3 linked regions of the Sus scrofa genome follow. The protein of the gene in region 2 interacts with the protein of the main gene of each other region in a biochemical or structural test. Links are inferred from orthologs where the notes say so. Each region holds a gene or a part of one and is shown on either strand. Other genes may lie near its edges.

Region 1 (4,397 bases), on a different chromosome or scaffold from region 2:
GTTCTTGCCTCTCCCTGAGCTGAGGAATCTCTGATGTCTCAACTACCACGAAATAAAACAAGCATAGTGACTTAGGTGTCTCCATGTGAGTGGGCGAGTTTATATTGTTTTTAAATTTATCCTGTCGTTTCATTTTATTTCTTTTTTGTTTGTTTGTTTGTTTGTTTTTTAGGTCCACACCTGAAGCATATGGAAATTCCCAGGCTAGGGGTCCAATTGGAGCCATAGCCACCACCCACAACACCACCAGATCCGAGCCACGTCTGCGACCTACGCCACAGGTCACAACAACACTGGATCCTTAACCCACTGAGTGAGGCCAGGGATCGAACCTGCATCCTCACAGATACTACTCAGATTTGTTACTAGTCAGATTCGTTACTGCTGAGCCACAGCGGGAACTCCTCATTGTATTTCTTTATACAGATACTCACTTTACACACAAGAAAATGCACAGGTTTTCAATGATCTGTCCCGTGAGTTTTGACAGCTACATGCACTTATGTAACCACTACCCCAAGAAATTCCCTCAAATACTTTTCTTGGCAAATCGCTGCCCCAACAAAGGCAAATGTCCTTTCTGGCTGTAAGCACCGTAAATGTGTTTGGTCCAAGTCTGGACTCAATATAAATGGAATCACACAGTTCACATTCTTCTGTCCTTTCTTCTCATGCCTTCCATAATCACTTTGAGATCCAGCCACACCATTGGGTATATTCATCGTTTGTCCTGGAGGTGGTGTTGGGTAGGATTCCATTGTATGAAGCTTTCGAAATCTGGGATTCCATTTCTCTGTGGATGGACATTTGGGCTGTTTCCATTTTAGAGCTATATGTGAATAAGGCTGCTCTGCTGATGCATTTTGGGTTTTTGTGTGTGTGTGGTTTTGTTTTTGTTTTTGCTTTTTGTGTTTTTCTGTTTAGGGCTGCACTCAAGGCATATGGAAGTTCCCAGGCTAGGAATCGAATCAGAGCTATAGCTGCCTGCCTGCCCCATAGCCACAGCAACGCCAGATCTGAGCCACATCTGCAACCTCCACCGCAGCTTGTGGCAACACCAGATCCTTAACCCAGTAAGTGAGGCCAGAGATTGAACTTACATCCTCATGGATACTAGTCAGGATCTTAACACGCTGAGCCATAATGGGAAATCCTGCTGATGGTCTTTTTTTTTTTTTTTTTTTTTTTTTCCGCTTTTTAGGGCCGCAACATATGGAGGGTCCCAGACGAGGGGTCAAATCAGAGCTATAGCTGCCACCTACACCATAGCCACAGCAACACAGGATCCGAGCCGGGTCTGCAACCTACACCACAGCTCACAGCAACGCCAGATCCTTAACCCACTGAACAAGGCCAGGGATTGAACCCGCAACTTCATGGTTCCTAATCAGATTCATTTCCCCTGTGCTGCGATGGGAACTCTTTTTTTTTTTTTTTTTTTTTTTTTTTTTTTTTTTTTTAATACTGATGCATTTTTGATAGCTAGGCTGGAGGCACCTCTCCAGGCTCACTTGCTGGACCATTTGCAGGAGGTCCTGCTGCTGTGTCCACCCTCACCCACCCATCCTCTCCCCTCTTGTCCCCATCAGTGAGCCCCATGCCCGCTTCTACGCGGCCCAGATTGTCCTGACCTTCGAGTACCTGCACTCGCTTGATCTCATCTACCGGGACCTGAAGCCGGAGAACCTTCTCATCGACCAGCAGGGCTACATTCAGGTGCCCACTGGGCCAGGGGAGGGGCAGCCCCAGGTGACTGTGGCGTGAATCCTCCCTGCCTCCCCACCAACTGCCTGTTCTTGTGCCCACAGGTGACAGACTTCGGTTTTGCCAAACGTGTGAAAGGCCGCACCTGGACTTTGTGTGGGACACCCGAGTACCTGGCCCCTGAGATCATCCTGAGTAAAGTAGGCGCTTCCCTACCCCTCCCACCACCCTGAGACCGGCTCCGCCAGCGCCCCCGCTTCACCCTTCTCCCCTCACCTGCACACCCCCCTCACTCCAGGGCTACAACAAAGCTGTGGACTGGTGGGCCCTGGGGGTTCTCATCTATGAGATGGCCGCTGGCTACCCGCCCTTCTTCGCTGACCAGCCCATCCAGATCTACGAGAAGATTGTCTCCGGGAAGGTGAGGCCTGGATTCAGGGGCTTGGCCCCCAGACAGACCCCTTGCCCACCCATCCTGCTCTCCATGGAGCCCTATGCATTGTCACAACAATCTAGAGGTTCATTAAGCCCGGCCAGGGGGTGATACCAGGCACACCACTTGCCACACTAACTAAAGCCACCACTTCACACAGCCTTGGTGGCTGATTCTAGGACCCACAGTGCCAAAATCCCACAGGTATCCAAAACCCTCAGCCTCACCCAAACTCCTGCCTGGCTCAACATGAGGCTCTTCTCGCCTCTAGTCTAGTCTGGTCGTCCTTAGGGTGAGTTTTCACAAACTTCTCAGCAGAAAATCGAGTACAGAAGTTCCTGTCATGGCTCAGCAGTTAATGAACCTGACTAGTATCCATGAGGATGCAGGTTGGATCCCTGGCCTCGCTCAGTGGGTTAAGGATCTGGCATTGCTCTGAGCTTTGGTGTAGGTCCACATGTGGCTCAGATCCAATGTTGCTGTGGCATAGGCCAGCAGTGTAGCTCCAATTCAGCCCCTAGCCTGGGAACTAGCATATGCCATAAGTGCAGTCCTAAAAAGACACACACAAAAAAAGGCAAGTACATTCAGTTCCCAGGTGCTATCCCACCCCCCCACCTCCTTTCCCAAATACAGACTTTTTCGGAGCACATGGGTGAGGGATGGCACAACTGTTAGAGCCCAGGATGCATTAAGTGCCAGCTGCCCCCATGCACCTCCTGGGTTCGTCGTACCCCAGCACTCCGAGGGAGTGAGGAAGCTGAGGTGCAGAGAGCAGACATGTCTGGTTTGAGATCACATGGCAGCAGCAGCTGGAGAGAGGCAGAGGAACCCTACCTCTGCCCTCTGCTTGCCCACCTCACCTTCACCAGAAGGACCAGCCATCCCTTCATCTGGCCCAGGAAATGGAGTAGCTGGCAGCTCAGCCTGGGCGGGTTGGCCTGACTGTTAAGTTCCAGCTTTGCCATTCATCAGCTGTGAAACCCCAGGCCAATGGCTTTGCTTCTCTGAGTCTCATCTTAATCATCTCAGAACTGGAGAACTAGCCATGGGCCTCTCAGGTTGAGAGAATCCCCATCTGTCAAGTAGGGTCACTGAAAAAGGGAATGATGAGGTGTCTGCCATCAGGCAGAATAGAAGTTACCAAGAAAATGGCCCAGAGTAGGGGGGGAATAAAAAAAAAAAAGCCATAGAAAGTTTCAATGGGGGAGAGGAGAAGCTGAGCACAACTCCTTTCTTTGTAACGTTTTATGGTTCCCACGCACCCTCAGCAGGATTATCTCCCTCATGCAACCCTGGGATATCTGCCCCATGCCAAAGAGGCAGGCACAGGCCCAGAGAGGTTAAGGGCCGTAGCCAAGGTCACACAGCATATAAGAGGCAGAGCAATACTGGAAGTTGGTTCTTGTGGCCGTAAATTCAGTGATTGCTTGCATACAAGGTTAGAGGCACAAAGCATTTGGGGAAAGTTTCTGGAAGAGTTGAACTGGGCCTTAAGGAATGGAAGAGCCTTAGCTATGCAGAGAGAGAGAGAAATAGAAAAATAATTATTTCTGGAGTTCCTGTCGTGGCGCAGCAGAAACAAATCTGACTAGGAACCATGTGGTTGCGGGTTCAATCCCTGGCCTTGTTCAGTGGGTTAAGGATCTGGCATTGACGTGAGCTGTGGTGTAGGTGGCAGACGCGGTACCGATCCAGCATTGCTGTGGCTGTGGCATAGGCTGGCAGCTGTAGCTCCAATTAGACCCCTAGCCTGGGAACGTCCATATGCCGCAGGTGTGGCCCTAAAAAAAAAAGAAAGAAAGAAAGAAAAATAATTATTTCTTTCAGAATCATGAATATTTCAGAAGTCCCCAGACCCCAGCAGAGCTGCCTTAGGAAGCACTGGCTGAGAATGCAAGTTCTGGAGTCCAGCAGATCCAAGATGGACCACCTTGTCTTGTTCCTCTGTGTGACCTTGGGCAAGCTGTTTACTCCATCCAAGCCTTAGTTTACTCTTCTCTGAAATGGAAACCTCCTGCTGTGGCTCAGTGGGTTAGGATCCCAACATAGTGTCCATGAGGATGCAGGTTAAATCCCCGGCCTTGCTCAGGTTGAGGATCTGGTGTTGCTGTGAGCTGCTGTGTAGGTCGCAGATGCAGCTCGGATCCAGTGTTGCTGTGGCGATGGTTGTGGCCTAGGCCAGCAGCTGCAGCTCCCAATTTTTTTTTCTTTTTAGGGCCACACCTGCAGCATATGGAAATACCCAGCTAGCACTGAA
Region 2 (4,870 bases):
CATCCAGGAAGCTAGAACCAGCACGGAGTTGCCTAGGCCTCCAAGCCACCCCCCCACTCCCCAATCCCCTACCCCCACCCAGGGCATGTAAAGAACACAAATGGACAGACCATCCCCCAGTCCAGGCCTTGCCTACTCTTGGGACTTAAAGAACCAGAGGGGCCTGCATGAACCCCTAAAACTTACCTAACCAGGCCCTCCTCATTCCAAGGCCCTCTCAGATGTTGCCAAGGAAACAGACACAGCAGCCAGAGAGCCTTGACCCAGGTTTCCATGACAACCTAGAGGCCCACTAGGATCCATCCATCCCTGATGTCACCTGAGCCCTGAATGGGTACCCCTCACCCCCACCAGACTCATCACAAATAAACGTCAGACTGATAGCAAGTACCTGTCCCAAAGCGCCTCACAGCTTGCGTGCCCTCAATCGTCACACACCCTAAATGTGAGCAAGGCAGCTTGTGGCTGGGCACCCTGAGGCTGGGAGGGAGGCAAGACCTAGGAGCCTGAAGGCAGATTCAGGACTGGAAACCAAGCCTCCCCTCTGCGCCCCGGCACCCTCCCTAGGTCTGAGGAGGGACTGATTTCTCTGAGCAGTGGTAGCTAACCCACCCCTACCCACCTACTCTACAATGGTGCCCCTCCTGGATGGGAGTCTGAACCTCCAGATCCTGGAAGTGCCTAGAACAGCAGCCCCAGTCTAAGGCTAAAGGGAGGGAAGGAACATTGAGGACTCAGAGTGGCTGGAGCCAGACCTGACCCTGGTCCAGTTCCACCCCTATCCGCTTCTGCTGGCATCTGACACCTGTCTGCCAGGATCTCCCCAACTTTGGGCAACCTCCAGCCCAGGAGCTGAACGACCAGGGCCAGGTATTTTTAGCAGAGTTGCTGGCAGCTGCCTGGAGGGTATGGAGGTGGGGGAGGTGGTGCTGAGTTCATCCTTTTCCTTCTCAGGGCCTGTACTCCCTCCCCAGGATTCAAGCTTGCACCTTTACCTGCAGCACACTGCCAAGAGGGCCGCCCTTCCCCGCCCACCTCCTCCAAACAGCTCTCCAAGTGTCCTAGGGGTTCAGGTGACACTAACCCTTATCCTGAAGGGCAGGGCCATCAGGTAAAATCTTCAACTCCCAAGGGCAGGGAGGACAGTGGGAAGGACCTGGGGTGGAGGCTAGAAGCCCGGATTTAGGACCTCTAATGTCTTGCTCAGATATGGGCCAGCGGGGAATGGGCAGAGAAGGATGAAGTCTGTCCCACCTGTAACTGGTCTGCTTGCTCAGGCAACAGGCGGGAGGGAAAGGAGAATTCACTTTTAAAGGACGAGACCTCCTTCTTCCCTAGAGGGGTCTTGACGCACTTGGCTGGTCCCCCACCCCCTTGTCCCCACCCGTGAACCCCCCCAACTCCTCCGCACCATTCATACACTCCCCCTCCCTCTCGCTCCTTCCCGGCCCCCCTCCCCATACACACACTCGGGCTCTTTTGTCTGCGGAGTCGGGCGGGGCGTCGGTGGCGGAGTCTGCTGGGCGGGCGGGGCGGGGTCTGAGTGGGTGCGAGGCCCTGGGAGGAGGGTGGGGGTGGGGGATTCCCCTGGGGGGAGGGGGGCAGACACGTCACCCCCGCACCGCGTGGACGGGGGCGAGCGCGGGGGCGGGGGCGGGGGCGGGCAGAGGCTTAAATAGGCGTCTCTGGCGGCCAGACCCAGTGTGGACTGAGAAGGCGGCGGCGGCTGCGGCAGCGTCGAGGGTCCGCGCCTGGGGCTGTGAGTGGATTGTATCCGACCTACCTAGTCCTGACCGTGTCCGTGCGTGAGTGGGTGAGGGTCCTGGCAGGGCGGGGTGGGGGGGGTCGCACCGTCTGGGATGGATGAGTCAGGAGGAGGGGTCACAGGTCCTTGAACCCAATCATCTTGCTGAGCCGGGTCGGGTCCAGGCTCCATTTCCACCGCGGCTTACGCGGCCATCCCGATTCCCGTTGCCCAGACGGCGTCCGAGACGATGACTCTGAATGGCGGCGGCAGCGGAGCCGGCGGGAGCCGCGGCGGGGGCCGGGAGCGCGAGCGCCGTCGGGGCAGCACACCCTGGGGCCCGGCGCCCCCGCTGCACCGCCGAAGCATGCCGGTGGACGAGCGCGACCTGCAGGCGGCGCTGGCTCCGGGCGCTCTGGCAACGGCCGAGGCCGGGACCGCGGCCCAGGGTCCGAGGCTGGACTGGCCCGAGGGCTCCTCTGACTCGCTCAGCTCCGGAGGCAGCGATTCAGACGAGAGCGTTTACAAAGTGCTGCTGCTGGGGGCCCCTGGTGTCGGCAAGAGCGCTCTGGCGCGCATCTTCGGTGGAGTAGAGGATGGGCCTGAGGCGGAGGCTGCAGGTGAGGGGCTGGGACTCCAGGGGAGGGGAGGCCGGGTTAGGGCCGAGGGCTAAAGGACTGATCAGGATTGAAGCAGCAAATACCAAAGGGACTTTTTTTTTTTTTTGAGGGCCGCACTTGCGGCATGTGAAGTTCCCAGGCTAGGGGTCAAACAAATCGGAGCTACAACTGCTGGCCTACACCACAGCCACATCAACACAGGATCCGACCTATATCACAGCTCACAGCAATGCAGGATTCTTAGCCCACTGAGAGAGGCCAGGGATCGAACCCATCTCCTCAGGTTCATTATGGATGAGCCATGACAGGAACTCCCACCAAAGGGATTCTGAAGGCGCTTTGAGAAGCTGCCTCCACCTACCCATTTCAGATGGGGACAGTGGAAGAAGGTACCCCCCAGCCTTTAGTTAGGAAATGCCTCAAGTAGAAGGTTCAGAGCATAGGTGTGATTACTCTGTAGGATGGAAACAGAACATCCCTCCCTGCCAGGACCAGCAAGAACACAGCCAGAGGAGTTTCTAGGAGAGGAGTCCTAGGTAACCAAGGTCCCCAGGGGACACTTGTTCTAACTCAGGTCGTTGTGGTCAGAACCACCCGGGGTCCCAGGCAGCAGGAGGTCAGGCAACACAGGAGCGGCCCCCTGGGGACATTGCCACCTTGGAGAAGGGATATCCAGGGGCAAGGTCAGGCACACCATGCCCTCCACGGCTCCCCCCTACCATTCTTCAGCCCTGTCACTTCTGTTGTCACAGCAGTCATCAGTGGAGGGAAGGTTAGAGGAGCTCTGGGGAGGAGTTGGAGGTTGTGGCCAGAGCAGAAAGCCTGGTGGCATGGAGGAGGGGGAGCTTTTGGCAGCCAGCAGGTAACCTGACTACCGGTCTCTTGCCAGGGCACACGTATGATCGCTCCATCATGGTGGACGGAGAAGAGGCATCGCTCATGGTCTATGACATCTGGGAGCAGGTAGGACGCAGGCTGAGGGCCAGGGCAGGGTTGGGGTAGGGGCTACAGGGAGTGACAGCCTTGTAGCTGGGGCATGAGGACTATTGGGTATATTTGTGTGTGTCTGTATTTGCTAGGATGGGGGCCACTGGCTACCTGGCCACTGCATGGCCATGGGAGATGCATATGTCATCGTGTACTCAGTGACAGACAAGGACAGCTTTGAGAAGGCCTCAGAGCTGCGGGTCCAGTTGCGGCGGGCTCGACAGACAGACGACGTGCCCATCATCCTAGTGGGCAACAAGAGTGACCTGGTGCGCTCTCGTGAGGTCTCCTTGGATGGTGAGCAGAGAGTGGGTCGGAAAGGGAGGGAGATCCTGGCCGGGCTGTGGTCCCCTCGGCCTTAACTCAGCTCAAGGGCCTGGGGACCATTGCTGGCTAAAATGTTCAGGAAGAAAAGTCAGGGAGAGCGGAGCAGAGCTTCTGCCCTCCCATAGGTCTCCCAAAGGCCTGAGTGCTGGGGAAGAACCGATGTGCTAGGGCGGGGAGAGGCTGCTGGGCTGGGCTGGGCCACCTCAGGGCCCTTGTCTCCTGTCCCCTTTGGCCCTGGCCTGGCAGATGAGGGCTGAGGAGAATGCAGGGAATCAGGCCAGGGGGTCCGAGCCTGGATTCCAGGCCCGGACCAGCCTTGCCCCCGGGGAGGACCCACCCCTCTTGGACCCAGCATCCTCCTCTCTGGTGCTCAGACCTGAGTCCCTCAGAGGAACCTAGCAGTAATATTCCCTTTGTTCCACCCTCCTTCCTCATGATATAACATCAAGCCATGAAACAGTAAGCTGTCCCACAAAGTTATTTCCTGTGTTGGCTACTGCAGCACTCCATTTAAATATCAGACCCCAAATGTTTTTTGATAAATGAGTCTCCTTTGTGAGCCCCTTAAACCCAGGCACATTCTGCCATTTGGGTGACCCAAGCAACATCCAGGATCCCCCATGCAGGAGTTGAGGTCATTGTGTTTCTGGCGAGGACCCCCAGGTCCCCTTTCCCTTACCCACAGATGTGGTAGCTGCCATGGGGTGGCCAGGGTTTGAGTGGGCTTCTCATTCCCCCACCATTTGTTTACTGATGTGTACCTGTCCCCACCCACACAGAGGGCCGGGCCTGCGCCGTGGTCTTCGACTGCAAGTTTATCGAGACCTCGGCTGCGTTGCACCACAATGTCCAGGCACTGTTCGAGGGTGTCGTGCGTCAGATACGCCTGCGCAGGGACAGCAAAGAGGCCAACGCACGTCGGCAAGCGGGTACCCGGCGGCGAGAGAGCCTCGGCAAGAAGGCGAAGCGCTTTCTGGGTCGCATCGTCGCAAGAAATAGCCGCAAGATGGCCTTGCGTGCCAAGTCTAAATCCTGCCACGACCTCTCTGTGCTCTAGGCCCGGAGGCACTCGCTGTGTTCTGCAGACGGATGGGCAGATTGGTGGGCTGGCCCAGCCAACCGCCCAAGTGCCTCAGGGCTGGCTCGGACTCTGGGCCTGGACACCTCATGGTCATGGACAGACTCTGCTGCC
Region 3 (4,397 bases), on a different chromosome or scaffold from region 2:
GCTCTCGGTCTGTGGGTAGCAGGAGATGACAGGCCGGGCTTCTTGCAGTGCCCAGAATCTAAATCAGAGGGCAAGTCTCCGTGTGTCTACCAGCAACTCCCATCCTCCCCAGAGGCAGCAAGAACGCAGTGCTGACAGCAGCTAGATTCACTGTACTGAGTCACGTAGGGCCAGGGGGGGCTCTGCACCCTCCCCTCCTCCAGTCTCTGGGGAGGCCAGGACCATTAAGGGTCTGGCTTCTAGTTCTCAAAGAGGAAGGCAGATCAGGAAGAGGAGGAAGGGCGGGGGCCGCATTCCAGGAAGACAGGGTCACTCTTACCAAACCAAGCCTGTTGCTCTCCCTGTACTTCGATGGCTAGGCCAAAATCAGCTAGCTTGACGGCGGCACCCTTGCATTTACTCGCCAGCAGCAGGTTCTCAGGCTGTATAAGGAAGAGAGAGAACCCTGTGAGGCACCCACGCCGCAGCCCATAGGGAGCCTAATTTGGGCCCCGGCAATACTACCGCCTGGCACCAGGTGGCGCCAAGGCTTCACAAGCAAGAGGCAAAAGGGAACCTGGGTCGTACCTTCAGGTCCCGGTGGACGATGTCATGCTGGTGGATGTGGTTAACACTCTCCAGAATCTGATGTATACAGTGGCTGGAAAAGAAGAGGAAAGGACAGTGCAAGGTGAAACCATCCTTGACCACATGCTGTGGACCAAAGCACTGAACTCTAGGTCACAGATTCACAGAGAATCACTGAATGAGAAACTAGAACCTTGGACTTTGGATACCATCTGTTCAAACTATTTTACAGAAGAAGAAACCAAGGCCCAAGCTGATTAAGTGGTTTGTCCAGGGTCTCCTACTAGATAATAGCAGTGGATAGCCTAGAAGAGGGTTCAGCATGCCTCCTTAGAATGTAAAGGCCCAACATATCATTTGTTTCCAAGAAACTGGGGGACACCTCAGGCTACTGAGAAAGAGACCATCCAACCCCTTCCTTCTTTCTCTTTGACCTTCTCTGTTCTTAGAGAAGAGGCCTGTGGTAGCACCTTAGGAAGGACAGTCCAACTAAGCCTAATTGTTTTGGGGGTGGGTATAAAAATCATTTATTTAAGCATTTATCAGGTACCTATAGGCTTTGTGCTGGGGACATCAGCTATAAAAATGACCCAGTGTCTGGCCTAAAGCTTACCATCCAGCAGGGGAGATAAAATGAGGACACAGGTCCTATCAATAGTCAATGTACTTAAGGGGGTTCCAACAGGCACCTGAGGAACATTTCTGATAACAATTTTGCAAACAAAAGGATAAATTAACCTAAAGTCACATTTAGCTGCTGATTCTTCCTTTTTTTTTTTTTTTTGGTCTTTTTAGGGCTACGCCCACAGCATATGGAAGTTTCCAGGCTAGGGGTCAAATTGGAGCTGTAGCTGCCGGCCTATGCCAAAGCCACAGCCACGCAGGATCCGGGCTGCATCTGCAACCTACACCACAGCTCACGGCAATGCCAGATCCTTAACCCACTGAGCGAGGCCAGGGAGCGAACCTGCATCCTCATGGATGCTAGTCAGATTCATTTCCACTGAGCCACAACGGGAACTCCCTAGCTGCTGATTCTTCAATCAGGCTGTCCACCTTCCAAACCATCCTGTCACACTTGCAGGCAAACTCCTGGAGGGGTGTGCTGGCAGTCTAGAATACTAGTGAGAACTAGGGGACAATTCTGGCCCCCAGGGCAATTCGGGTAATGCCTGGAGACACTGCTGGTTATCACTACTGAGAGGAAGGGTGCAACCGGTATCAAGCAGGTAGAGGCCAGGGATGCTTCTAAACCTACAATGCACAGGTGGGACACTCACAACAAAAATTTATCTGGCCCCAAGTGTAAGTAGTGCTGAGACTGAGGAGCCTCGGCCTGAGGAACAGAGCCGGTTCTACCAAGTGTGTGGAGTGGGTGCTGGGCTGGTGACCTGGACTTATTACTCCTTCTCTCTAAAATCTGATGCTAGGGCTTCCACAAGAGCCAAGAGGTCTTGCTGGGCTCCTAAAGGCTGAGGTTTGGGCCTCTCTATAGGACATGGCCCAGGAACAGGGCAAAGAGACTTTAAGACTGAGCTGAAGAGGCGAGTCTCCACAGAAATGTATAATTAGAACAGAGCCAAGCTAGCAGGGAGAGCCTTCTGGCCAAAAATGGCAAAAGTGCGAACTGTCCCAGCAGAGCCAGGCCAAGCCCACTGGTACAGTCACCCGCCCCGGCTCTCCCTCCTCCCCGCCAGGCTCCCTGCACTATCACCGCCTCTTCCCGCCCCAGAGCCTGGTCCTCCCCTGCTGGCACTGGAATTCATCTCCCACTTGAGAATTTTTCCCGAGGCTGAAGCATCTGAAGTTGATCAGCAAACATTGGCCTCTCAGGGTTGAGAAATCTGTGAGGAAGCTGTGCTCCCCCACCCTGCGAGCAGCCAGAGCTGCCACATCTGCCTGAGAAGCTGCAGGCAGGAGAGACCAAGATCAGGTTGTAAGGACATCACCCTTGGAGAAAACTCGGGCCCGGGGGAGGAGCCGAGGAGGGAAAGGCAGCCCAAACAAGCGCCCAAGAGCTGTGGAGTGGGAGGAATTCTGCTGTGTCACATGAAGGAGCTGCCAGGGCCTCCTGGAGGACTGGGGGCTGAGGGGTGTGGCCAAGGAATGGTCCTCCAGCCTGAGAGGCCCCGAATGGAGGCTGGTCATGGTGGTCAAGACACAAGGTGATACAGGCTGAAATCTCCCAGAAAGGTTCCTGGTTGGATTATTAACCCAGATGTTTCTACTCCTTCGAGACATGGTTTGTCCAAAGAGAGAAGTGGGGCTAGGGAGGGCCCTTGGGCATACTTATGAGTATGCACTGGTGCAGAGAAAAGGTATTTCTGGTGTGCGAGGGTAAAGGAGATCTGTAAGAGCTTTGTAAAAAAATCAGTCTGGGAATGCTGCATTTTAATTTCTAATATTGCCCACAGAACGGAGCCTGAGTCCAGCTCTACACAGTCTTTGTCCAGATAAGAGCCCTTCTAATCTCCCTGAAGACTATTCAAATAGGCACAATGCCTGGTCCCTTGAGGTAGTCAAGTTGCCACTTAAACCACAAGCCCCTCTTCTCACCTGGCATCAGCTTCACTGTAGTACTCTCTGGCCACAATGTCTTCAAACAGCTCCCCGCCAGTAACACTGCAACCAACAAAGAGGGTTAGAGGAGGCAGGTCAGGTGGCCGAACCCAGCATCCAACAGGTAACAGGACATCCTCTAGAACAGCTTTCAGAGAACTCTCAACACCACATGCATTTCATCTGAGAGCCCAGAACATACTCCAGCCTCAATGATGTAGAGCTTCTCCTTGGGACAACATGGATCCACCCTTTCTCTCGCACTTTTCTGTTCCTGTAACCTATAGATTAGTTGACACTCTGATAGAGATGAATACACAGGCATCTACGAGAAAATAATCGACCCACTCAAACAGTCATCATTTTTTTTGAGACCGGTATGAATGCTAAGATACAGCTGCCCAAGAAGGACAGACCTACTACTGAAGCTGAAGAATAATGAGACCAAGGACACAGAGACCCAACCCTGAAAATACCGGAGGGGCATTTCCAGGAGGTGAAGAGCCACCTTTAAGATATTAAACCACAACCAAAGTGGAGGAGAGACCAATGGGAGCCCAGTTTACAACTAAAAAAAGGTACCTTCATTTTCCCGAATTTTTACGGTCATGCAAAGAGCTAATACATTCTATTTCTCTACTAAGGACAACACACCAAGAAACAAGAAAAAAGCAACTGCACAAGGTGTGCTGCTGAACGGAAATGCAAGAGCAATGCCAACCCGGGGTTCAGAGCCCTGGGGAGATTCTGAGTGAGCAATGAGACCCTGGGCAACCTGCCCATTACCAGAGGAAGTTCAAAATCAAACTCCTCTCCTCGGGCAAAGGAGAGGGACCCTCGGCAGAGGCTGAAGACCCAGTTTTGGCCTTTTTTCCAAGCCTTCCTCTTGAGCCAGCTGGAGGGAAAGGCCCCCACACCCTCAAAAAGCGGCACTTACAGGTCAAACACGAGGTAGTGAAACCCTTCTTCAGAAATACTGTCATGGAGGCGTACTGCAAGAGAGGAGATGGGGACAGAGATTAACAGAGAGAAAACTTGGAAATGCTACTCCTCTCTTCCGCAGCCATCCCAGCCCTGCCCCATCCTGGCAGCCCCACAGGCTCTCTCCTGAAGCAGCAGCCCTGAGAGGGGGGCTGCACATCCAGCACCCCTTGCCCAGGGTGACACAGCCATGGAGCTGACCCCAGGTCTAGCACTCCAGTTACCACCTCAGACTGCCTCAGATATAGGCGAGAGACAGAAGCTTTGGGGCTAAGAAGTAAGACAAGACG

What was found.
Region 1: of the proteins of RRAD (region 2) and PRKACA, one has a biochemical effect on the other in vitro, tested with the Homo sapiens proteins (2 studies listed by BioGRID). The link is inferred for Sus scrofa from reciprocal best matches to the Homo sapiens genes RRAD and PRKACA.
Region 3: of the proteins of RRAD (region 2) and CAMK2G, one has a biochemical effect on the other in vitro, tested with the Homo sapiens proteins (2 studies listed by BioGRID, with this or other methods). The link is inferred for Sus scrofa from reciprocal best matches to the Homo sapiens genes RRAD and CAMK2G.

Annotation. Positions count from the first base shown.
Region 1 is NC_010444.4:65,087,947-65,092,343, forward strand, and holds part of PRKACA (cAMP-dependent protein kinase catalytic subunit alpha), read left to right. Parts: intron 1-1,589; coding exon 1,590-1,716; intron 1,717-1,808; coding exon 1,809-1,904; intron 1,905-2,002; coding exon 2,003-2,125; intron 2,126-4,397.
Region 2 is NC_010448.4:27,601,914-27,606,783, reverse strand, and holds the start of RRAD (GTP-binding protein RAD), read left to right. Parts: upstream 1-1,656; 5' UTR 1,657-1,759; exon of another isoform or gene 1,760-1,813; intron 1,814-1,979; 5' UTR 1,980-1,994; coding exon 1,995-2,364; intron 2,365-3,253; coding exon 3,254-3,327; intron 3,328-3,443; coding exon 3,444-3,648; intron 3,649-4,457; coding exon 4,458-4,735; 3' UTR 4,736-4,870. UniProt on the Homo sapiens protein: May regulate basal voltage-dependent L-type Ca(2+) currents and be required for beta-adrenergic augmentation of Ca(2+) influx in cardiomyocytes, thereby regulating increases in heart rate and contractile force.
Region 3 is NC_010456.5:76,568,077-76,572,473, forward strand, and holds part of CAMK2G (calcium/calmodulin-dependent protein kinase type II subunit gamma), read right to left. Parts: intron 4,119-4,397; coding exon 4,064-4,118; intron 3,190-4,063; coding exon 3,124-3,189; intron 641-3,123; coding exon 568-640; intron 423-567; coding exon 320-422; intron 1-319.